Rhinolophus ferrumequinum: one gene and its partners. Each later gene encodes a partner of the first gene's protein in a complex. Links are inferred from orthologs where the notes say so. Each region holds a gene or a part of one and is shown on either strand. Other genes may lie near its edges. The genes, in order: ACTR2, ARPC5 and ARPC5L.

Region 1 (7,625 bases):
TTCTCTCTTTCTTCTCCTTCTGGTATGCCCATTATTCTTATATTGCTCTTTCTAATGGAGTCAGAAAGTTCTTGTAGAGTTCTTTCATTTCTTTTAAGTCTCAAGTCTCTTCTTCCATCTGTGTAATTTCCAGGTTTCTATCTTCGATGTCACTGATTCTTTCCTCCATCTGGTCAACTATACTACCTAAGCTGGCTATTTCATTCTTAATTTCTTCTATTGAGTTCTTAATCTCCAGAAATTCTGTTTGGTCCTTTTTTAAAATTTCAATATCTTTCATAAAATACTCATGTTGTTCTTTGATTGTGTTTCTGAGTTCATTAAACTACCTTTCTGTGTTTTCTTGCATCTCGTTGAGTTTTTTCAGAACTGCAATCTTGAATTCTCTGTCATTTAAATCACATATTTCCATATCTTTAAGTTCCTTTTCTGGAGACTTTCGACTTTCTTTCTGAGCTGTCTTGTTACCTTGGTTATTCATGACAATTATTGATTTATTATTTCTCTTCCTAGACATGTACAGGAGTGGCTTCTGCAACAGGTTGATAGGACGAGGTCTTTCTTTTGTTTTCCAGTACTAGTTGATAGAATTTTATTTTCTCTCCAACTGCAGCCTTTTTTTCTCTCTCACATGGTAGTGCTATGTTTTCTCTGCACTATTCCAGCTTCTCACACAATGGGGGGATTCCCTGGGAGATGGGCTTCTCCTCTGTTAATAGTTCGCCTGGGTCACAGGGCACAGTGTCCGTGTGGGTATGCGGAGAACTTTTGAAGTTCCAAAGCTCTTCTTGCACCAGATTCAGAGCCCGTATGTTTCAGCAGTTCTGTTTACTCCTGCAGGCATCTGCCCAGATAGGTGCGTTCAGGGGCGGGGTGAGTTGTGAGAGGTGGCCCAGAGAATGGCGGCGAACACCACACAGCCGGTCCTGCTTCCACTGCTCCCTCCCCTTTGCCGGAACTAGTTGGGCTGCGAATCTGTTTCTGCGGTCCACAGTTCTCAGAACAGCAAATATTCTGTTCTTTTTTTTTTTTTTAATTTATGGGGGTGACAACTGTTAGTAAAATTACATAGATTTCAGGTACTATTCTGTTCTTTTGATCTGACATTGCTACTATACCGCTTCTAGCATTGGGCAGGTGGGGGCAGGGTGAACTTTGGAAGGGTAGGGAGGGGGGCGGCTAGTCTTAGTGCCTAAGGCTTCTGTTCTCTGCTCGGCAGTGAGGGCTTAAGCCACCGTTTTCAGCCTTCTTCCCTCAGTCTTTGCTCCGAGGTCTCTGCCGTGAGCATTGGGTTCAGCCATGTTATATGCTGCCCCCTCAGCCCTGTGGGCCATAAGCAGAGCCCTAGCAGTCCGAGTTCTTCCCTCTCCCGCAGCCGCGGCAGTTCCAGGATGCAGCGAGCTTGGAAGACTGAGTTAGGTCTGCGTCCTGTGCCCATCCAGCTCCATCTCCACACTTCTCCCTTTTCTCCTCCCCAGCTCATGAGATTCGCCCACCCTTAGGTGAATTCAGTAGTGGGCCTCTTCGTCCTGCCTGTCTGCTATGCAGGGAGTCCTTTGTGGAGTAATAGTTGTTCGATTAGTTGTAAATTCCAGGGGAGATTTATAGAGGCTCACCTCATGCCGCCATTTTGATGACGTCTCTCATTCCAGACTTAATTTTTTAAAGCCCCCATATTCTCATGTGTAAAATGGCAATATTTGCCTAGCAATATTTTTGTGTGGAATAGTTTACATAAAATCTGAACAGAAGGCTAGAAATGAAGCCCTCCTCAAAAAAAAAAAAAAATTCAATCGCTTAAAATGTGGGATCACATTATTTTGAGGAAAGTGACATGACCAGAATGCACTTGGTCTAGAAGGTCAGAGACAGTCACCAATAGTATTACACCTAAATTTGCATAATCAAAAGTTTTGCTACATTTTCATTACTGTAGTTTGTTGATATTTTCTATCATCTGCGTATATTGCTTTTATAGTCAGAAGAAAACAACAGAAGCCATTTATTAAAAAGTAAAAATTAGTAATGCATTTAATTTCATAAAGAGAGAAAGTAAAAATATATAGAAATGCATGAGTTCAATTTGCTGAGACCAACTAAATGTACTCCCAGGAAAACTGCACAGTGCTAGGCACTGGGGCCACAAAAGTCAGACGTATAATTTATGAACTTAATGCACTGTTCAGCAGGGTGAGGTACCGCAATGAAACTGGTGTAGGGAAGACATATTCCCCTGAGGCCTCCTCTCCTACCCATCCTAACCTTCAAACTTCCAACTATAGCTATGGCAGCTGTACTTTGATCTATTTTATATTTTGGGATCCCATATAAAGTTAAATTTGAAGAAAGCATTTTATGCCTTTATAAAGGTTTGAAAGAACAAAGTTAAAACTGAGAGGCAGCCTAGTATTGTAATACTGGATGGGAGGGGGGTTCTTGATCCAAGTTTTATTCTAGTCATGTACAGCCATTTGGAAAGCACAGTTTTAGTTCTTACCTCTGAAAAACGATGGCATTTTTTTTAGATGAATTTTAATGTCATCTATCCAATAAATATTTGTTGAGTGCAATAAACACAATAATGTTATTCATATATCCATGGTAAAGTAATAGTAAATAAAGGGAGTAAAAAGCATCTTAAGGGTTATCAGCAAAATCTTCAGAGATGTGACAACTGGGTCGTAGAGCATGAGTAGATGTCTCCCCATTGATTAAAATGAAAAAAGATAGGGGCATTAAAGATAGAACTACATGTTTGAAAGTATGAAACATAGTGAGGAATAAAGTGAAGAAATAAAATGGAGTCATGATGGTCAAGCTGCTAAATTACGAGAATCAAGTAATCTGAGGCATGAGGAAATGCTTCTATTCTTGCTTTAACTAGCCTGAGGACTTAAACTTTTAAATTTCTCAGTTGTGTGTCAATGCCTGGATGTACATTACTGCCACAGATAACCATCTGAACAACTCAGGAAAGAATGCTCCATTATCCAGACCACCAGACACGTGGAAGATTATCATCCTAGACCAACCCAGAGGCTAAATATGCATGACTGATTGTTCTCAAGAATGTACTTTTTACTGTAAGAACTCACCTTTTCTTTCTCCTTTGGAACACTCTGGGTATTAACTAGTTAGTTGTGTTTTCAGTTTGCAAACCCTAAGACCTTGAGCAACTTTTTGTCATTTATAGCCAAAGTCTCCTGACTTTTTGCGAGTTTGGTTGACAAAAGTTACCACTGAATGGATGCTTACTCCACACACATAATTTTATCCTCACAACAACCATATTATCCGCAGGCACAGATAAGGGGATGCCCAGATCACAAAACTCTTGAGTGGTAGGGTCAGATTTGAAACGGGGGTTTATTTTAAAGCCAAGGTTCTGGGTTCAAGTAGGTATGTATTCTGAAGAAGTGTAAAGCAACATGGTGCTGAGAGAAGGGGTAGGTGGTGTGTGATGAGGCTGGAAATGTAGGCACCCACTCTTATTTAAGGGCAATTTGAGCCAAGAAGGATTGGGCTGGAATTAGAAGTATCTATGACCGCATGATGTCAAATACGTGTGTGTATCCATTCCAGCTCTGTCAGCTGAAAAGGCCTAGAATCGAGAGCACACAGAGCCATTTTCAATAAGTGGGATTGGCAAGGACCTCCAGGTTTGCTCCCGTTCCGGGCTGCCTTCTTCGCCACATTCCACTGCCATCTCGCGACAGACCCGTTGTCCTGCCTGCGCTTTCTGCAGCCAGGTAAGAGTGTCCTCAACTCCTGCGACGACTCTGGAAAAAAGCTGCAGCACCCACCAGCTCGGCTGCGTTAAACGCCGGAAACCATACGCAGAGAGCATCACCCGAGTAGGCAGCAACCGTGAGGGCGGGGCCGGAGCCGGAGCCGGAGCCGGAGCTGCGAGCCAGGACTTGGAGCTCCTCCGCTTCTTATTTGGGCTCACCGCTGCCAATCTCCGTCTCCTCTCCCTTACCCGCCTGTGTCGCGCAGGCCGTGGGCGGGGCGGGGCCGGGTGGCGACTTCCGGTTGGGGAAGAGAACAGAGCCCAAGGAGGGGCTGAGAAGAGGGAGGAGGAGGAAGAGGAAAAGGCCGGGCGGCGGAGGCTGTAGGCGGCGGCTGTAGGTTGTGCGGCGGCAGCAGCGGCGGCTCTCTTCCGGGCGGACGATGGACAGCCAGGGCAGGAAGGTGGTGGTGTGCGACAACGGCACGGGGGTAAGCGGCGGGCAAGAAGCCGCGGTGGCCATAGGTCGGGGTGGGGATGTGCGGGGGACGCGCGGGCCCTCGGCGCCGGGGGCTGCACCCCTGGGCCTTCGGGCCACCGGGGCCAAGGGGCTCGGTGCAGCCCTTTTCCGCCTCCGCGGGCGTGGGGAGCGAGCGGCAGGGTCCGGCCTGGTCTCCCCCAGCCTGCCATCCCCATCAGCCCTCCGGGTTAGGGCGGCGGGCGAGGCCGGCACTGGATGGGGATCTCGCCCGCTGCTCGGCGGGGACGGGCTCCGCTTTCTTGCTGGGGCAATCTGGCTAAAGGGTCGGAGGGGTAAAAGACTAAGTTTGTATGTTCGAGAAGGGCTCCGTTCCCCAGGATTGCCGGTGTATAAAAAGGGGAAAGACCCAGAGGCCTTCCTCTTCCTGTATAGATACTGAACGGGAGGCAGGAAACGGGTTTAAAGAAAAAAAGGGAAGTGCTGTCAGTGCAAGCCTCAGCCCTTTGGCAGTTTTGAGTGTTTTTTTTTTTTTTTTTTTTTTTTGAAGAAAAGAGAGGCCAGGTCGACTGCTCATCATTTAGTTTTTGTTCTGCATGCCGGGATTTTGGCCCAGGTGCAGCCCCGCGGAGACCAGCATGTTACATTGAATGATCTTGGGACATCTAGGACCCGTCAAGGCCCAAATGTTAATTCTACTGATTGGCCTTGAGGGAAGTTAATCAGTTTTGTTACTTATTTTAGATGAGTTCCATAGTGATCATTTTCTCGTATATTATTACAGTGATACCTAACCGTTTTGTAGTTGCATATTTGTGACTTTTCTTTCCCTTTCATAAATGTGATATATGAATTAAAATAGATTTTACTTGAACTTTTAAAACACTTTGGAAACTGTGTTGTGGGGGAGAGAGCTAATATTCACTGCCATAATACTTCCCCTGATTGAATTTGTTACAGACTTTTACAAGCAATAATTATACTAGTTTATCCCAAATGGACTTGAGTAATGAGTGTTATCATATAATGGGACATCCTTACAAAATGGAGTACTTAAATTAAAAAAAAAAGAGGCCCATTTACTGCTATGGAAACATATCTAAGTTTATTGTTAAGTTTAAAAAATGATCCTATTTATGTGTGTGTTCTTCATATAAACTCTATAAATATGTTTATATGTCCACAAACCTGTATGTGTAAGTTTTGGGGGGATACGTGAGAAATGTGCATAGTGGTAATCTGTGAGACTAGGGATAACGGAGTGGGGGAAGATGAAGACTTCATGACTCTTCCAAACTATTGGAAAAATGGTTTTTGTTTTTTAACAAAACATGTATTGTTAAACTATCTTGAAACTAAAGAAACTATAAACAGTTATTACTTTTACAGTTAAAATTCAATTAAAGGTGCTTTTTAAAAGATATTAGTCTCAAATTGACCTCTAAGTAAATTTAAAGATTTGAAAATTGAATTTAAAACATTTTGTTTTGTGAATATGCCTGATATTCTTTTTAGAAATCTGAGCCAACTATATTTTAATGGATTCCTCCTTTTCGAAGGGTAATGAACCCTATTTTTGTAATGAGTTTTGTGATACTGTTAGAATAGGAATGTTAACCTTAAGCTCATTTTTATGTTATTATTTCATCAACTTAGCTATGTTAGGAAGCTGATTGTATATTATTGGTCTTATTCCAATCTATAATTTAAGAATCTTGTTCCTTAAGACAAAAGATCAGTTGCTATGGAATAAATATGAAAAGTGTATTTAGTTCAAACAAAATTTTATATATTTGGTGTTAATTTCTTTTTTTAAAATTATATTTGGATTTTGTATAGACATGATTGACTTCAAATGAAGAAACACTGATATAATATGGAATGCTGTGATATTTCTGAAAATTTAGAGAATTAGGAACCACTTAGATTCTATATTTTGTTTCATAGTCTTGATTTTATTGAGGTATCTGATTTCATTTAATCATACCTTTACAATATTTAATTGTAAAGGTATGATTACAATTAAATATTAAACAAGATATTCAAATTTAATTTCTAAAAATTTATGGGAATAGTTGTTACCCTAAAGCAGCTTGCCTCTTACACGTTTTAGGTTAAAATTATAAGCAATTTGAGAAGTTGATGATTTTTTTCTTTTAACTCCTCTGACAGGCCTTAAGTTGAAGAGTAGGTGAGTTTTTATGATCACGTGCTAGATGTTGGTCCTGCTCCTCTTCCTCACTAGCCCCCAACTAGACCAGAGTCTCGTTCAGGCAGCCTAGAGGAGGAAAATGCATCCGATTCCAATAATTTATTTGTTTCATCCTCATAACCAGTCAAACCTACGACCTACAATAGAGCCACTGAACATGGCCAGATAGGTGAAAATCTGGAGATCTGCTTAGGTTTAGGTGCCTTTTAAGAGTTTTGCCCAGGCCCCTGGTGTATGTTTTGTCACCAAACTTGGGTGATTTCATCAGCAGTGAGCACCCACTACAGTGAAGACAACTGCCTACTGTGTGACTGGTACAGTTTTTAAAGTCTAGTGATACAACGTAGCTTATAGTGCTAGAATAATTATATTTTCATTTATAATTCATGATTATTGCCTGCTTTATCAAGTTTATGCTAATTTATAAGTTGAATTTAGGAGCACTTGGAACAGAAATAAACCAAAAACAAACTTGGCTTTACCCTGCAAAATGTTTTGGAATAAATAGAATAAGTATTTTGGTGATGTAAGATCAAAATAATCACTATGCAATTAAATTAATGCATCAGTACCTTCAGATAAAATTAATAAAGGAAAAATACATATACAATCCCAAGTGAAGCTTTATAAATCCGTTTATCTTTTTGAGAGGGGAAAGGTACTTTTAGAGCAAATGTAGATGGACGTTTTCTTCATGTTGCTTGAGAGAACATTATACTTACTGTTCATGTTCTCACCAGTTGATGACTCAGTGGGAAGTAAGGGAACCAGTTTAAACCACAGTGCTATGAAGAGGAAACTATATATGGTAAAATCTATTTCTTAAACACAGCCTTATTGCACATCATGAGAGAACCAAGTCACCATGTCTTAAAATGATCGGAGTGGGGGAGGAATTTCAAGGATTAAAATATACCAAAGAGAAAACATTTTCTTTGTATTTTATCACATCATGGTTTAGATTTTTTTGAATACTGACTTCTTTTGCCAGAAAGGAAATGCCAGATTGTCCATTACTTTTATATTATTGAGAAATAGGTTATTTTAATTACATTCTTGTTATTATAGCTATTAATGCTTCACATTTGAAATAATGTGAAATAGGGCAATTATTGCCATTTTGACCGAATGTCTGACACCCTGTAGGAATGTTAGCACCAGATTACTATGGCAGCAAATGTTTCCAATAAACTACTACTTTAGCAGAA
Region 2 (7,933 bases), on another chromosome or scaffold:
ATGACAATTTTCTATTATTCAAACTATTCCAGAGCATAGGGGGAAAAAAGGTAGAAATCCTCTCAATTCATCTTACAAAGCCAGACTAATCTCAATATCAAAACCAGATAAAGATAGCACAAAGAAATAAAACTATGAACCAATCTTACTTATACATATAGATTCTGAAATGTAAACAAAATATAAACTAATCAAATCTAGCAAGCAATTAAAATAGTAACCAAATAGAGTTTATTCTAGAAATGTGGGAATGGTTCAGTGCATAAAAATATATAAATATAATTCATTACATTCATAAATTAAAAGATGAAAAAATGACATGATTTTTATCATTCGATCCCCCAAAAAAGCATTTGGTAATTTCAGCCATTATGTCGAAAGATCATAAAGCAATAGAAATATAAACTGGTAAATACCAAAAACATTTCCACTGAAAGAAAAACAAAGAAGAGAAGCCTACTATCACCCAATTTCTCAACATCGTTTCTGAGAGACTAACTCATGCAATAAGTTAAGGAAAAAAAATAATAAAAGTGATATAACTATTGGAAAAGATGTAAATTATCACTATCTCAAAAATTATGATTATATATTGTGACAAGAAATGTAACCTTAAAACAACTGTTAGCATTAATAACAGACCCGAGTAATGGGAAAGAACATGGAATAAATAAATTTTTAAATCCATAGCTTCCCTTTATATTATCATAAGCATGTAAAAACAGGAAATAGAAATATAGTCCCATTCACAAAAATGTTTAACAAACAAGGCTTATTCTTTCATTTAGCACTAAACTTTTTACCGGAGACAAGCGTACAGATTTAAATCTTTTAAATCCTTGAAGTACTAATATATAAATAAATAAAAGTTCTCATTGTAAAATAGTTCATCCTATCCACTCTACCTCAGTGTGTAATCATAAAGTTATGTGAAGCTGAAATTAATCACCGATTAAAAACTTGAAGTTTTGAAGGTTGGTGGTTTTAACACAGAACCAGTTCATTCACATGTTAAGTCTATATATAGTCAATGGGTAACATGCCAAAAAGTCTTTTTACATTGTAGTAATTATGTTGCTAGAGAACAGTGAAATTAAATCATTACCAGAACTGAAATTTAGTTATTTTATATTTATAACACATGTTTGACATATTTGATTAACACTGAGTTCACTTCCATTTCAACTAATAATCCCGCCATGCTGCAGGATTCAAGGTCTTGGTTTGTTAAGTATCTAATGGCAAGTCTGGAGAAAAAAGCACATTGTAGGTAGAGTACTTGGTTTAAAATATCTGCAAAAACTTATTATAAGACAGTTTTATCAAAATCGTTTCTAACTAAAGAGATCTTTTGCTCTTTCCATCATCACAAAAATAAGGAGCTATATACTATCATGCAGCATTAATCTCGAGAAAAGTCAGTGTTAACTTCGGTATTGAACCAAACCAGGTTAGTTGCAAAACAAATCAGATGTCTTAAAACCCTATGGAACCTTTATTTCAGGGATAAGCACTCCTTTGGAAAATTAAAATAGGGAAAATAATATTACCTAAAATGAAAGAAGTGCCATGACTAACATTAGAAATTTGTAATATTCATATGCAAGAAATTGAAATGTGTATCTTCTAATTAAATGATAATTAAGGACAGCGTTCTTCACACACACACACAAATTTCCCTACCGCTTTAAAGAGGTAATTAATGTGTCCATTAAAAAATACTCAATCTCTAAATATAATTCCAAAATTAATTTGTTGGATTATTGCTTCATTGGATCGAAAAGTGTTGAGTGCCTACTATGTACAAGGTACTTATCATTGTGAGATAATAAAAAAATACTGCATTGGAAAAGGATATTTCTGACATTATTATATCTCAAATGTAATATGCATTATGTGGCTGAAACTTAATTATGTTTAACACATTCAACACACAGAGCAAAATTATGAGCAATTAAAAACAATTAAACCTTTAAGCAATTCGATTTTTTAAATTCCCCTCTCTGTTCCCTTAAGTTGATTTCTACTCTGGGTTTCTTTCCCAGTTCTAAAACCAGAGAACAAAGAAATTTCCTAAATAAGACCTTATACAAAAGAATAGAAATGGTAAGAGAACGGATGTATTAGCTCATGAATCCTTGTTTCCATTTGCTCTCAGTAGTGCTTCTAATAGTCAATTTTCTCTTCTAAAGTTAGCAAAATATTGAAACTGAGAAAAGAATATTAGAGCAAATCTTTATTCTAAGTTATATAATGCTATTCACCACAGTAATGATCTGATACTTTGGTATACGACTTTTTAAAATAAAGGTTATCAACAGGTAGAAATTTTTCCTTTGCTATTTTAAGACAGTCCTTGAGGAAGTTTTTACCAGCGTGTTTGTTCATAACTTGAATGTTAATTTAAAGAAATGTCACTTCATCACCTCAATGATATATGTTCCAGAAGGGTGATTTAATTGGGAAAAGAAAATGCCATATTGCTTCTTCCTTCCAAGAAAAAAACATGCAGTCTATTCCTGAGGGTTCTCTCTATAGATGACAGATTAAAGAGATAGAGATATATATGTATACCTATATACACATATTGATATAGATACATAAGTATGCACATGTATCTAATGAAGATTTGATTTTGAGATCTTTCTTCCTCTTTTTACTGGTTCATTATTCTCAGTGTGATTCTCAAACTATAATGGCTTTCACATGTTACTCATTCACCCAGGAATAATTAAGTACCCCAGTGCACTGAGTACCTTCTGCATGCTTAGCTTTATGTCAGACCTAAAGGAAGATACAAAAGAAATATAAGACAGCCTCCGCCCTCCAGAATCTTTCCATCTCTTCAGGGGCAAGATAAAACACAATGTATCATTAAGTAATTTATAAGGCTAGTTTTCAAACCAATGGTACAGGTAACACACATTTCACATTTATGTACAATTTTATAGCTCCAAAACGCTTTCCTGTACTTAAATCTCAGAATGATCTTGTGAAGTACACATTATTAGCCCCCTTTAGCAGTGGAGAACCTGAGATTCAGAATTTTAAGTGGTATGTCTCAATCAAGTAGATTGAGCGAAAGACTCAAGACTCGAGCCAGGATTTACTGATTCTAAACCCAGTGCTCTTTTCAATAGAGCACAGGAAACCAATGAGTCGAGTACTTAACAGGGCAACAGCCGGCCTTCTGCTAGAGGTGGAATTAAACTAGACCTGATAGGATGTCGGGGAAAACAAAGCCATCTGAGCAGTGTCCATCCAAACGTCCAAATTAATTTTAATCTACACACATTTGTGCTTCAGTGTTGCACACTCAGCACAGCTACCATTTACCTCCTCAGTAAGAGCTTTGCTCTCAGAAACGGGCATGTCAAATATAATAAAAAGCTGGCCTAAAGGGATCACATAAAACCTTAAATCACAAACGTCTTCAGTCTTGAACGTCTACCAGTTGTTCCACATTTTATTTCCCCTCAGCACCGGAGAACGTAGCTCGCCCCTACCCTTGTCTAGCCTGCCCGCTCCGCACAACCACGTATTTTAAGCTGTCAGTGACGGACCCTACCACAAATTCCACAGGTTCACCCAGTGTTGCCACCCGACCCCAGCCCCTGCCACGCACCTCCCCCTCCCTCCCAATGGATACGATACCTAGTTCAGGTTCTGCAGGTGCCTTCGCGGTGCTGTCACACAGCACTGACAGAAGATACGACCTTTCGACTCTGTCCTTGGGGACCTCCCGCTGGCCGCACAGCGTAGTTCCAACCCCGGGAAAGGGGCTCCCGGCGCAGGAACGCAGCCACGAGCAGCGCCCGGACCGAAGCGATGTCTCTGAGAACTAGAACGATGCTGGGCGCCCGGGCGTGCATCACTCCGCCCTACTACTGCCAACGGCAGGGGACTTGGTCCGACAGCCAGTCCATCCCACCTCACAGGCAAGTCCAGGACGGCCGGACCCTACGCAAGACCCGGATGACAGGTCGTTGGCGGCAGCAAAAGCCAAGGCCACCCGCCCCCAGTGCCCATCGCCGCGAACAGAAGAAGAACCCCTAGACTGGACCGCAGAGAAGCGTTCCTATGGAAACCCCCTAGGGATCACGTGAGGCACGCGGATGACCAATCGCCTATTACCGCTTCCCGCGGCACCGCTTTCTGCCCTCCCTCATGCTCCGCCCCCTCCGCCCCCGCCTCCTCAGCTCCGCCCCGCCCCTTTCCTGCGGAAAGTCTGCGCCTGCGCACTGAATCTAGCGCGCTCCCTGCTTTGCGCGCGCTCCCGGGAGGAGGGCAAGGACCGCGTAGGAGGCTTCAGCTGAGTGTGAACCTGAGGAGGAAGAAGCGCCGCCAGCGCGCAGGCCCAGAACCTCCCGAGCCCGGGCTGCCGGCGACGCCCCAGAGCGGAAGAGGGAAGTGAAGGCACCAGGCTGCGGGTTCCTGCAGAACTGGGCTTGCCGAGGGACAGGCAGCACCAAGAGGAGGCCTTTGCCACCGCTCCGGATCCGGGATGTCGAAGAATACGGTGTCGTCGGCCCGGTTCCGGAAGGTGGACGTGGACGAGTACGACGAGAACAAGTTCGTGGATGAGGAAGACGGGGGCGACGGACAGGCCGGGCCCGACGAGGGCGAGGTGGACTCCTGCCTGCGGCAATATCCTTGCGTTCGCCGGCCTCCCCAGCCCCCCGGGCCCTTCTGGTCCCCGCGCCGGCAGGGTCTGAGGATGACGGGCCCCTCCCGGGCCGCGGGCGCGGAGCTGCTCCTGACGGCCCCTGTCTCTTTGGGGTCCCCCACCCCGAGAGGGCAGGGGCCTCTCCCATATCTCACCGGGTCGCCTGGAGACCCCAGGGGTCCGCCCCCCGAAACTTGCCCTGCGGGGGCGCCTTCCACGCCCGGATTCCTCAGGTTGCGCCTGGAGTTGCCGCGTCCGGGAACGGGCTCTGCCGACCGCGCCCTCGAGGCGCTGGGAAGGCTTCGGGGCTGATCAGGACGGTTGCTGGGTGCTGAAGTTTTCCTCCCAGAACGCTATTTACTGGGGTCACAGTAGCTCCAGAAGTTTCTGACGGGGGGGGAATGGGCGTCTTTCTCTAGTGACTGTTTTTGTTGCGGTGGTGGTTTTGTTTTGGTAGAATTAGGATAGTTTATTCCTTTCTGGGAGACGGGGTAGTTTGCAGAATGAGGGCCTCAGTCCTTTGAGCCTGGGGGCCTTTTTTTTTTTAAGAAAAAAGAATTTTGCAAAATACAAGTTGCACAGAATTTGCTAACCGGGGGAAAGGGAGTAAGTACAAAATTACCAAAACTCCCAAGAAAGGAAGAAGCTTGGAGGCTTTAACCTGCTGAGCGATGGACCCTGGAAAGAAGCAGGGAATGCATATGGAGAATCCCTGGAAATATATCAAATAAATCCCAATGAATAAAATAGAAGACGAGCCAATTGTACAAAGCAGCATCATTTTTATAATCCTGAAATCGTTTCCATTTTAGTTAAAATGTGGTTGTCAGTTCCTAGTTTTTGGTTTTGCATATTTAAATATTCGTAACATCTGCATGAGATCTTTTTTTTTAGAAAAATGTAAATGTTGCAATAACCAAAGCTGAAGTTTTCGAGATTGTCAATTACTGAATTCACTCATTTCTAATTATTCTTGGGTGGATTCATAAGGAAGGCTTTATAGACGCTTCGTGGCTGTCCTGTGAAATTATGATGGGGAAATAGATGAGTGAAAATATTTGGTAGCAACTATATCTGGTCTTAAAGGCATCTAAAATACAACATTAAACATTTATCAACATACAGATATTTATTTATTTTCCACAACTTTCACAATCAGCGGTTGCTATTTTTCATTATTTAAATACTTAACGTGTTTTGGGCCTTAAAAATGAGCCAGTCTACAAAAGGCATGCTTCTCTAGAAGTCCATTACGCCTTGAAAATGACAGCTTACCACCAACCATGGGGTTTTTTGTCAGACCTTTTTCTTCAGAAAATAAGTGGTGAACATTGTGCTGTCTAAAAACATTCTTTGTGGTGGATAAATGATGTTTTGTGAAACTAACATTTTAGCTGGTATGAGAGGACTCTTAAATGGTTCTGCTGTATCCATGTAGTAGGTCTGTTTATAAAGATACTGTCTCTTCTACTCTTGTTACAACCAGAAGAGACAAATGCTGGTTAGGCACTACAGATGGAGGAACAAGTAAGCTCTGTGTGGTTTTCCTTTTAGGGGAATAACTGTACATTCTGACAGTCTGATTGGCTTTCTGTGTTTCATACATGCTAACTCACTAGTGCTTTCAAAGAGAGACTAAATGTAATAGGTATGGCCTGACACAGTCTGAATAACCTTTATGAAATATGAAAGGAAAGATCTAAAACAGAAAAGTTAAGCTGCCTCCTAAGGGTCACTGAATTATGATACCTTCTGTAGTGCCTCTTTTCATCAATATTGAGAGATTGCTAATGTATATCATTCAGATTGCTAAATTAATAATACACCAGCATTTTCCATCAAGATTTCAATTAATATAGAATATAATTCTAGTAAGTTTGGTCTTTATTTTTCCAGTTAGAATCACATAAAAACATTTTGGTTGAGGGTAGGCAGTTTCGTTTTGGGGCCTAATTATTCTGATACATATTGTAGAGATTTTTTTAACTTATCACTGGATAGTGTTTCCATATGTGTCTCATTGGAAAAGGAGAGGTTCTCAAGGCATTCGTTTGACAATTAGAACCAAGGATGGAACAGCCTTTGCTTTACTAAAAGAACTCTCACGTGATTTTTTTGTAGTTTTCAGTACTTTACCTTTGATTGACATCCTTGAAACCAACATGTTGAATTTTCCAATAGTGAACATAGTGACCATAGTCATTTTTCCTTCTCTGCATGAAGTCAAGTCTTAAGAACCAGTGGTTCCTGGTAGTGAGCATGCTTTCCTGTGGGCTGCCCTTTGCTGCTATGTCCTTAACCTCCACCACAGGAAACATGACAGCTGCCCTGCAGGCTGCTCTGAAGAACCCCCCGATGAACACGAAGAGTCAGGCGGTAAAGGTGAGTCCCACATCACGGTGATCTCCGATGGCATCGGAGCATTCTTACCCAAATCCTCCGAAGTGTCGCAAAATCAAGAAATATTTTAACTAGTCACGATCTTTGCCCTGGAAGAGTTAATGAAGTAGTTTGATAGGTACACATTTACAGATGAATAAAGAACAGGCAAACACTGGGTTTCGTATGCAACACATCCAGTTCAAATGACAGATCATTTCTGTGTGTTTTTAGGGGAGGCTGCAGGTTGAATTTGAGCAAAGATTTGAAGAATAAGTAAAACTTTTACAAAATGAACAGATTCTACTTCTTTTCTTGTTAAAGATCTGTGAATGTTATACAAGTATTAAGTATTTATTATAGAAAACTCGGAGAGGAGAGGTGGGGGATGAAAAACGGTAACCGTCCATAACCCCACCTCCTCAAGATTGTAATTACTACTTTTTGGTGTTGCTGTTTGCTGATACAGTTTTTCTATGAGTGGTTTTTTTGTTTTTAAATAAAAATGAAATTTTATAACCTGCTTTTTCAGTTGGATAGCCATGGACATGTACATCTTTCCTTGGCAATAATTTTATTTCTGTAACATCTTTTTTAATGGCTACATATAGATAATGCTGCAGTTTATATGTAACTAATCTGTTTTGTCATATATTTACATTATCGACCTTTTTTTCCTGTTGTAAACAGTACTGAAATGGACAATGTTTTGTAAATTCTTAATGATTTCCTTTGAATAAATCCCTGGAAGTGAAACGCTGGATTTTAGAATGCACATTTTTTTAAGGCTTTTGGTGCACACAGTATTGCCAAATTGCCCTTAAGAAAAGTTGTGCAACTTAACGTTCCCTGCAGCAGTCTTTCAGTAATTCTTAAGAACCTATTTAC
Region 3 (7,982 bases), on another chromosome or scaffold:
ATGAGTCTTCAGGGACACCCAGTTTTTCCTCCAGCCAGAGAAGACAGACAAGGGCATTCAGGGCAAAAGGACCACACGGTCAAAGGCAGAGGGTCTCCCGCACGGCTAGGCGTGAGCAGGTGATCCCGGAAAAGCTGGTTAGAAGGGCATAACATTCCAAACCACAGATCCATTGAACGAGCACTTAAACGGACACCTCCCTAAGACAACCTCAAATACCCTGATATACACTTATTCCATCCCCCGCCCAGAGGGGCCGCGGCCCGTCACTTACATCTTGGAGAGCTTGGAAGCTGCGCCACCAGTCACTTTGGCGACGCGTAGCTGCGACAGTTCCACCTTCAGGTCGTCCAGCTGTTTCAGCAGCTCCTCCTTCTTCTTTCCGCGAAGGTCTCGAGCCTTAATCTTGGCCTGTGTACCAAGAAAGGGTCTAGATTAAACGCCCGGCGGCGCCGCCTACTCCTCCGGCGCTCATCGAGGCCTCCCCCACTGGCCACCCTCTCCCCGACCTGCGTCACGGTCAGCCCCAGAGGGGCGCGCGCCTCGCCCTGAGCATCCCCACCCCAAGCTTGCTACGAGGCCGGGACGCTATCCCCATTCCGCAGACTGTAAGACCGAGGCCGCGGCAGCGCGCGCGCGCACCTTTCCTAGTCGAAGCCGGTAGGAGGAAAAGACCGGTTTGAGTGGCGCTGGGCCACTCCGCACGGCGCTCCACAGGCCCAACTGGCAGATGGGACCTCAGCGTTCACCCTGCGCCCTCCACCCCAGCTCCCGAACCCTTCAGTGCACGGATGGCACCCGATTCCCCAGCCCTCACCATCGCTGCACAAACCACCAGAGCCGCCGCTCGCTCGCAGAGAAAGAGGAAGGGGGGGGCTGACCTCTGCAACTACTACCGGGTGAGGGCGGGCGCGGCCAATGGCGTCGCAGAGAGGGAGCCCCGGCTCCGCCCCTTCCGGCCCCCGCCAACGCCGCGAGGAACACCTTGGTACCGCCAGCCCAATCCCTCTGTAGTCCCTGGTTCTTCCAAAGACCCCGGAGGTTATTTGAGTCCCACGGCTTGAGCGGAGCAGTTGAGGAAACCACGGCCTGCCCGGGATGAGAGGCAGTTTAGCAGAGATGGCATAGTGAGGATTCAAATTCGTCCACTCAGTCGTTTATTTATTCATTGACTCATTTATTTATTGGGTAAATCTTTGCAGGTCGCCCAGTTCGTGCTGCTCTGAGCGTGGCACCTGTGTTCAGGGAGTGGAGGAGATTAGGTTTGAGGGTTTTCAAAAATGAATTAACACGGCCCCAGCCTCAGGAATTTAAAGTCCGATGTGGGCGGGGTCAGACAGCTATAATCCAACTCCATAAATGTTTTAGTGGAGGCAGCCATGTGGCCGGGGAGCGAGCATTCATAAGCCTTATTTAGTGAAACTGACCCGTTTTCAGATTCTTGCTCTGTTGCCTGGTGTTAGCTAAGACTTGGTAAATACCTTCCCCTCTTTGAGTCTCAGTTTTCTCATCTGTGAAATGAGATATTTATGAGGATTTGGATTCTATCACCTAGAAAATTCTTATCACAAGACCTGATGCGTAACAATCGCTCAAAATACCGGTATTAATGTTCCCAGTGAAATGAACACTTGAGTCGGGCCCTGAAAGTTAAAGGGGAATTCACAAAGCAAGGAGGGTGCTCAGGCTGACACAGCAGTTTTATTGTTGTCCCAACCAGCAATCAGTGCGTCAGTGTCACTCCATTGCCATTAAAAACATACCAACACCTCTTTGAGCTCTAGTTAATGCCAGATTGTCCCCTAGTTGCTATCAGGTGTCACTTCCAGGGAGCCTTCTCCCATCCCCTCCTGGAGTTAATGATCTTTAGCCTTGGAATAAATTGGGACACAACCTGTCTTGTGTCCCAAGCTTTATGTGCAATCCTCTCTTCAGCCCCAGAGTTCAAATGTTTATGTATTATCTCCACAGCCAGCCTGGAACTTCTCTGGGGGCAAGAACCATGGTGGACACCTGGTTTTCCTAGTCTCCAGGACCTGCATGTGGATGCTTGTTGGATGAACGAATGAATGAGCCTTACCCCAGACCACAATGAGAGACTTTTAGGAAGTGGAGGGATATGGGAAGGAGAGGGCAGACAGAGGGCAATGTGGTCATGGATTAGTTTTAAATGGAAATTGAATAGTGCACAGGGTCTTTGCTGTCACATTTCCCAAATGCTTATAGTTCTATTAGAGATACCGTGTTTCCCCGAAAATAAGACCTACCCCGAAAATAAGCCCCAGTTAAGATCTCAGCCAGACACATTTAGTTCGTTATGATAATATTCCAAAAGATGACATGACTGTATTTGAATAAATGTAGATTGTTGTACATGAAAAAGTAAGAAATCCCCTGAAAATACGCCCTAATGGAGCAAAAATTAATATAAGGCCCGGTCCTATTTTTGGGGAAACATGGTATACAGTTGTATACATCTTTTCTGGATTTGAAGGCATCTGTGACTCCCGTTCCTCTTACATGCCACATCTGAGCCAGCACCTAATTCTGTAGCCTCTGCCTTCAAAACATACCTGATCTCTTCCCACCACTCTTATTGGCACCTGCCTGGCCTGAGCTACTACCATTGCCTGTCACCTAGACCATTGGTGTCCTCTTAAATGGCCTCTCTACTTTGGCTCTTGCTCCCATGTGTTCTCAATACAGTTGCTGGAGGAACCCTTTTCAAAGTTAAGTAAGATCACATCACTGCTCTACCCAAAATTTCCAGGGCTGTCCCATGTGAGTGAAGATCACATCCTGTCCTCAGCCTACAAAGCCCTATAGAATCCCCTCCACTTCCATGTTCTCTCTCTCTCTTCTGATCCAGTATGGCCTTGCTGTTTCTGGCATACACCAAGCCTGCTGAGCCTGAGCCTTTGCCCGGCTCCCACCTTCACTTCCTTCAGGTCCCTGATCAGTGTCACCTCCTCAGGGGCACTTCTCTTGACCACTTTAAGGTACTCACTCCCAGGCCCTGCATGTTTGGTTTTTTCCCCCTCAGCACAGTCATCCTGACATAATAGAGGTTTTTAAAATTCTGCCTTCCTGACTGGAATGGAGGTCCATAGTCATAAGCACGTACATTATTTCATTCACCAGTTTATTTGGAGGCTATTTCCTTACTTGTAAAATGGTCATGTCTGGTGTAAAGTTCCCTCTGACCAGGATGTTCTGGGGACACGAATTTCTGTCTGGTGGCCTGCCTGGGTCACAAAGATTTCTTCCAACATATGGAACTGAAAGGCAGATGGGCTTTGCCTGTTTCCAGGACCCCTGGGACTTTTATTCAGCACCTTTTTCCACACTGTAGGAGTATCTTCAGCATCCAAGATACCATATGTACTATAGTCTGGTGTAGTTTTCGATCTGCAGACACAGTTCAATGAGAAATATTCAAATCAATAAAAACAAGTCACATTTCATTAACTACTGGCCTTTATTAAAAAGAGTACTATTACATGAAAGCAAGGACCCAGTTTAGTCTAAGGCTAAGGCCCATTAATGGAACCCTTCAAGTAACAGTCCAAGCATCTAATCCTAGCACCAGAGGCGTCTTTGACTCTGCCCTACCCCCTCCCATCCCCATCTCAGACTCTGGGCTTCCTACCAGGATATGCTCCCCAGCCAGACACGACTTCTTAGCTCCCAGGACCTCGCCCTTCTTGCCAGGATGGCGGCCACAGGATCACCTTCATTTCTGCACCCCCACACGCAGTGCCACCGCACCCTGAAGTCCAAAGGTCTTCATTATCTTGTCAGCACCCTCAATACACTTTGAACGTCCTTAAAGTCTCCTAGTCCATCAACAATAGGGTCACTGTGCACAAGGCAGAGGCCGCCTCCTCTGAGCTCAGTGTGGTGGTGTTCACGGCTCCTAAAATCTGAGACTTAGGATCCTCTACCTCCGTCACTCCCCGGGGCATAAGAACTACTACTAATCACTCAGAACCCAGCTCGAAGATTTCTTCCCCAAGAAGCCTGCCCGGAATTGACATGCCAGAGCCCAGCTCCTTCTCCTGCGGGCCCCGTGCCCTCTCAGTCTGGGGCAGTGATGACCCCAGAGTTCGCGGCTGTGCACACGCCGGTCCCTCCAGGGACAGGGGCTCCTCGAATGCAGGAGGGAGGCCGAAGAACGAGCGCAGTAATTGCGTCCACGAGGCCCGGCCTGCATGCGGAGAGTGCGCCAGCTCTTCAGACGAGAAGACTGAGGCGCCACGAAGATGGGACACTGGCGTGGGGGGGTCGGGGCGACTACCACGCGGATAATCGCGCGTTCCCACCTGCTACCCTGCCAGTCTCCGCCCCTGCATCCCACCTATACTTCCGGTTCCGGCGTGGGCCGGAAGTGGGCGGGCAGCGGCTGCGCGCGGAGGAGGTGGAGGAGGAGCCGGGCGGCTGCTTCCCGCCCCCGAGAGCGAGCCGGTTCGGAGCGGAGTGGAGCGGAGGTCGGGTCCGGAGCAGAGCCGGCTGAGCGGGCGCTGAGCCCCCGCCATGGCCCGGAACACGTTGTCCTCGCGATTCCGTCGGGTGGACATTGACGAGTTTGACGAGAACAAATTCGTGGACGAGCAGGAAGAGGCGGCGGCGGCGGCGGGCGAGCCAGGCCCGGACCCTAGCGAGGTGGACGGGCTCCTGCGGCAATATCCTTCCCAAGCGGGGCGCTCTGGGCTCCCCTTTGGCCCGGCCTTCTCACTTCCCTCACCCGGCCCTGGCCCCTCAGGCCGGCTCCCCACTCGTCTTACCCGCGACCCCTCTGGTGGGTCTCCCAACTCCCTTCCAATCCGGCTCCCGTCGGGCCAGGCTGCCTCAGTCTGAATACTCCCCACTTCCCTCTGATCCGGTCTCCCCACTCCTCTTGTCCCTGGCCCCGGCTCCCGGAGCCTCCCTCAGCAGCGCAGCCCCACGCGGTCCCTAGACTCTGGTTGACCGGCTCTCTCGGCGGCCCCAGTAGTATGCCGGACGTGTCTCCGGCCCTAACAGGCCGCTCTCTTCTCTGTGAGGCCTCTCGTTCCTTCCCTTTGCCTCCTCATCCCTTCAGGCTGTCCTTTGGACAGCCCCATCTCTCCATCCCTCCCTTGCAGGAAATAGGGTTATACTAGGGCTTGACCGGTGGGAGGGACCGAGGTGAGCCACCGCTGAGTAATTGAGCGGCCAGGGCGGCTCCTGGGCACACTTCTTGGCCCGATTGCAGCACCACACTAAAATAGGTGGGTGGATGGCTGCGGGGAAGAAAGGACACAAGAGGGAGCGAAGGCTAAAGTCTTAGTTCAGACCTGAGGGCTGGGATTGCGCACCTTCCACCCCAGAATCAGTCTGACCCTTCAGCTTAATGCCACTCTTTCTCGCGTATTGTTTCCTACGAACACCTTGGGCTTTGGACCTTGATGGGCTTAGCGACTTTCAACAAGTGTATTTTGCCTCCCTGCCCTCAATAGCCTTCTTGTGCAGGAAGCAGTGGTAAAAAGAAAAACTAGTAGTTTAGAGCTAAGAAAAACCAGAGAGCAAGAAGTGAAATGTAAAAGTAGATCCCCACAACTGGAAATAACTATTTTCGTGGCCACTGCAAACAAGCATTTAGAAAACAAGATTAAAAATAGAGGTGGTTGTCACAGCCTGCTTGGTCCCTTAGCAGTTTGAACACAGGAAACTGACTTATTCTCACAGGAAGGATTTTTCTTTATTTAAATGGTGTTACAGGAAGTGCCTGCCCCTCCTCCACACTTGCCCAGGGTAGGGTTGGAAGCTCATGCTGTATATAAATCAGGTTCTGAGTGTTTAATCAGTTGACTCAGCTTGGGAAGTCAGGCCCATAGACTGCCTTTGGGAGGAGTCCTCAGTGTTCCTCCAATGTGCCTTTAAAACAAAAACCTTCAGACTTTGTTTGGACAGGAGTGTGTTTTCCAAGGTGTGTTTCCTGCCCCATCATGGTCACCTTGCTTACCCCATTGGCGAAATGGAGGCATGAAAATGGCCCCAATGAGGGAAGGCTGATTGTGCATCTGGAGTAGGACCTCACTCTTGGGCATGTGGTGCCAAAAGGGCTCCAGGGTCAGGCCTATGGCCCAGAACCCTCCACAGATGGGAGAACAAGGTCTGGTTATCTGTTGTGTTGGTCCTGGTGCTGCAGGCATTTGTTGAAGGTCGTCTCTCATATGCCGGTGACTAGTGGTAGGTTCCTTGTGACTGCTTGGAGGCTTGGCTTAGCACCGCCAGGAGATAGCAGTGTCTTCACTAATGGCAGTATCAGAAACCTTGTTGCCATGGAGAGGGTACCCCCTGGGATTGGGGAAAGGGAGGTTCGTAGATGAGAACTGAAATCCTAGCAAACGTGGGACCTAGGGAGGGGGGAGGAAGGAACTAATATTTAGAGTCCTTACCATGTGCCAGATATTGGACTTATATTAGTTGATTGAATTTAAATTGTAGAACAGACTTCTAGGAGTTTTAGGACAGAGGTGAGGGGAGAAGGGCTAGGGGTTGGTTGATTGAGTGGGAGAATGTAGGGAGGAGACCTGCCCTAGTACTGCATATGAAGCGAGTCATGGTGAGATAACACATGAAGTAAAAAGAACATGGGCTGTGTACCCACACATACACCCACCTCCATCATACGATAGCTGTGTGACCTTGAACAGGTCACATATCCTCTCTGAAGCTTAGCATCCTCTGTTAAAAGCAGGAGAAATGCTGGCCTTAGGTTCCATGGGACCACTGCTGGACAACATTCCAGAAGGCTTCGGCCCAGTGCTAGGCACACAGCAGGTGTCCTGGACGTGCAGCTTGGGTCTGTGGGTGGAGTGCAGCAGGGGACTGTAAAAAGAGCTTGGCTTTGGAGTCAGGCATACTTGGGTTTGAAAGGCCAGCTGGACAGCTAGTTTTGTGACCTTGGGCAGGTCAGTTCCCTTCTCTGAGCCTCAAATTCATTGCCTTTAAAATGAGAATAATGATTCTTGTCGCAGAGTCGTTAGCTGTAATGAGATGACATGTGAAAGCACTTGGCACACAATCTGAGACCTTGTAGGGATTTTAAAGTAGTAGTAGTTCCTTTTCTTCCTCGCTGAAGCACCTTCGGTCCTCTGGGGCAGAGATCTGTTCAGAGCAGTGGTTTTGAGTGCTTTTGCACTCTCTCCTCCCCCTGAGGAAATGTGGCAATATTGGGAGATGTTTTGATTGTCACATCTTGGGAGGTGCTACTGAGATCTAGTGGGTAGAGGCCAGGGATGCTGCCAAATATTGTACGATGCATAGGACAGACCCCACATCCGTCATCTGGTCTAAAACGTCAGTAGTGTCGCGGTTGAGAAACCCTGATCTAGAGGAGACTATGGTTGGACACGGCTCCCTAGCCTGCACAGCCGGATCTCTGGAAGGGCCTGAGGCCAGCTTGGTAAATGGTGTGCCCTCCCTGCTCCCCAAATCTCCCTAGCTGCTGTAGGCCCTCTACCCATCCACACCTACAGTGACTGCTTGTAGACTGGCACTTCTGAGGTAACTGACTCTGCCCCCATGGACTAGTTACCCTCCCTTTCCCCATCCATCGTCTGGGTGACTGTTTGCCAGCTTTGCTGCTGGATAGTGAAGAGCACCAGCCTACATTTCCTTTTAAGCCTCTGGGACTCTGCTTACTGCTCTGGGACACCAAAAAAAGAATTCTGAGGTAGAAGTTATCAGTGGCTAATGTCACAGTGGCCCTTGCCTGGCTGGGGACAAGGAATTCTAAAGCTGCTAGATAATAGGGGGTGGGCTGCCTCTGAAATGTGGAAAGTGGATCAGAGCCCAGCCGGGGGCCGGGAGCTGGGCTGGAGTGGCTGCAGGGTGGCATGGGCCCAGCTCGGGCCAAATGAAGCCCACACTAGGGAAGACTGGACTCGGCTGTGCTCTGCAGGCTCTGTCTCTTTACACGTGGGGATCGCTGCATGAACAGGAGTGAAGACCCGATT

Evidence for each region.
Region 2: ACTR2 (region 1) and ARPC5 share a complex: the UniProt entries of both Homo sapiens proteins name them as parts of the arp2/3 complex. The link is inferred for Rhinolophus ferrumequinum from reciprocal best matches to the Homo sapiens genes ACTR2 and ARPC5.
Region 3: the proteins of ACTR2 (region 1) and ARPC5L are in contact, whole or in part, in a cryo-EM structure (PDB 6YW6), measured with the Homo sapiens proteins. The link is inferred for Rhinolophus ferrumequinum from reciprocal best matches to the Homo sapiens genes ACTR2 and ARPC5L. Residues at the interface, in NP_005713.1 of Homo sapiens: Tyr225, Glu263, Phe266, Gln267, Arg319, Lys322, Gln323, Ser338; in NP_112240.1 of Homo sapiens: Arg11, Arg12, Val13, Asp14, Ile15, Asp16, Glu20.

Annotation. Positions count from the first base shown.
Region 1 is NC_046296.1:24,869,259-24,876,883, reverse strand, and holds the start of ACTR2 (actin-related protein 2), read left to right. Parts: upstream 1-4,035; 5' UTR 4,036-4,170; coding exon 4,171-4,218; intron 4,219-7,625. UniProt on the Homo sapiens protein: ATP-binding component of the Arp2/3 complex, a multiprotein complex that mediates actin polymerization upon stimulation by nucleation-promoting factor (NPF).
Region 2 is NC_046305.1:15,118,458-15,126,390, reverse strand, and holds the start of ARPC5 (actin-related protein 2/3 complex subunit 5), read left to right. Parts: upstream 1-4,290; 5' UTR 4,291-4,504; coding exon 4,505-4,647; intron 4,648-6,975; coding exon 6,976-7,048; intron 7,049-7,933. UniProt on the Homo sapiens protein: Component of the Arp2/3 complex, a multiprotein complex that mediates actin polymerization upon stimulation by nucleation-promoting factor (NPF).
Region 3 is NC_046295.1:74,632,639-74,640,620, forward strand, and holds the start of ARPC5L (actin-related protein 2/3 complex subunit 5-like protein), read left to right. Parts: upstream 1-4,497; 5' UTR 4,498-4,533; coding exon 4,534-4,682; intron 4,683-7,982. Other genes in the region: RPL35 (60S ribosomal protein L35), read right to left, coding at 275-411, 818-820. UniProt on the Homo sapiens protein: May function as component of the Arp2/3 complex which is involved in regulation of actin polymerization and together with an activating nucleation-promoting factor (NPF) mediates the formation of branched actin networks.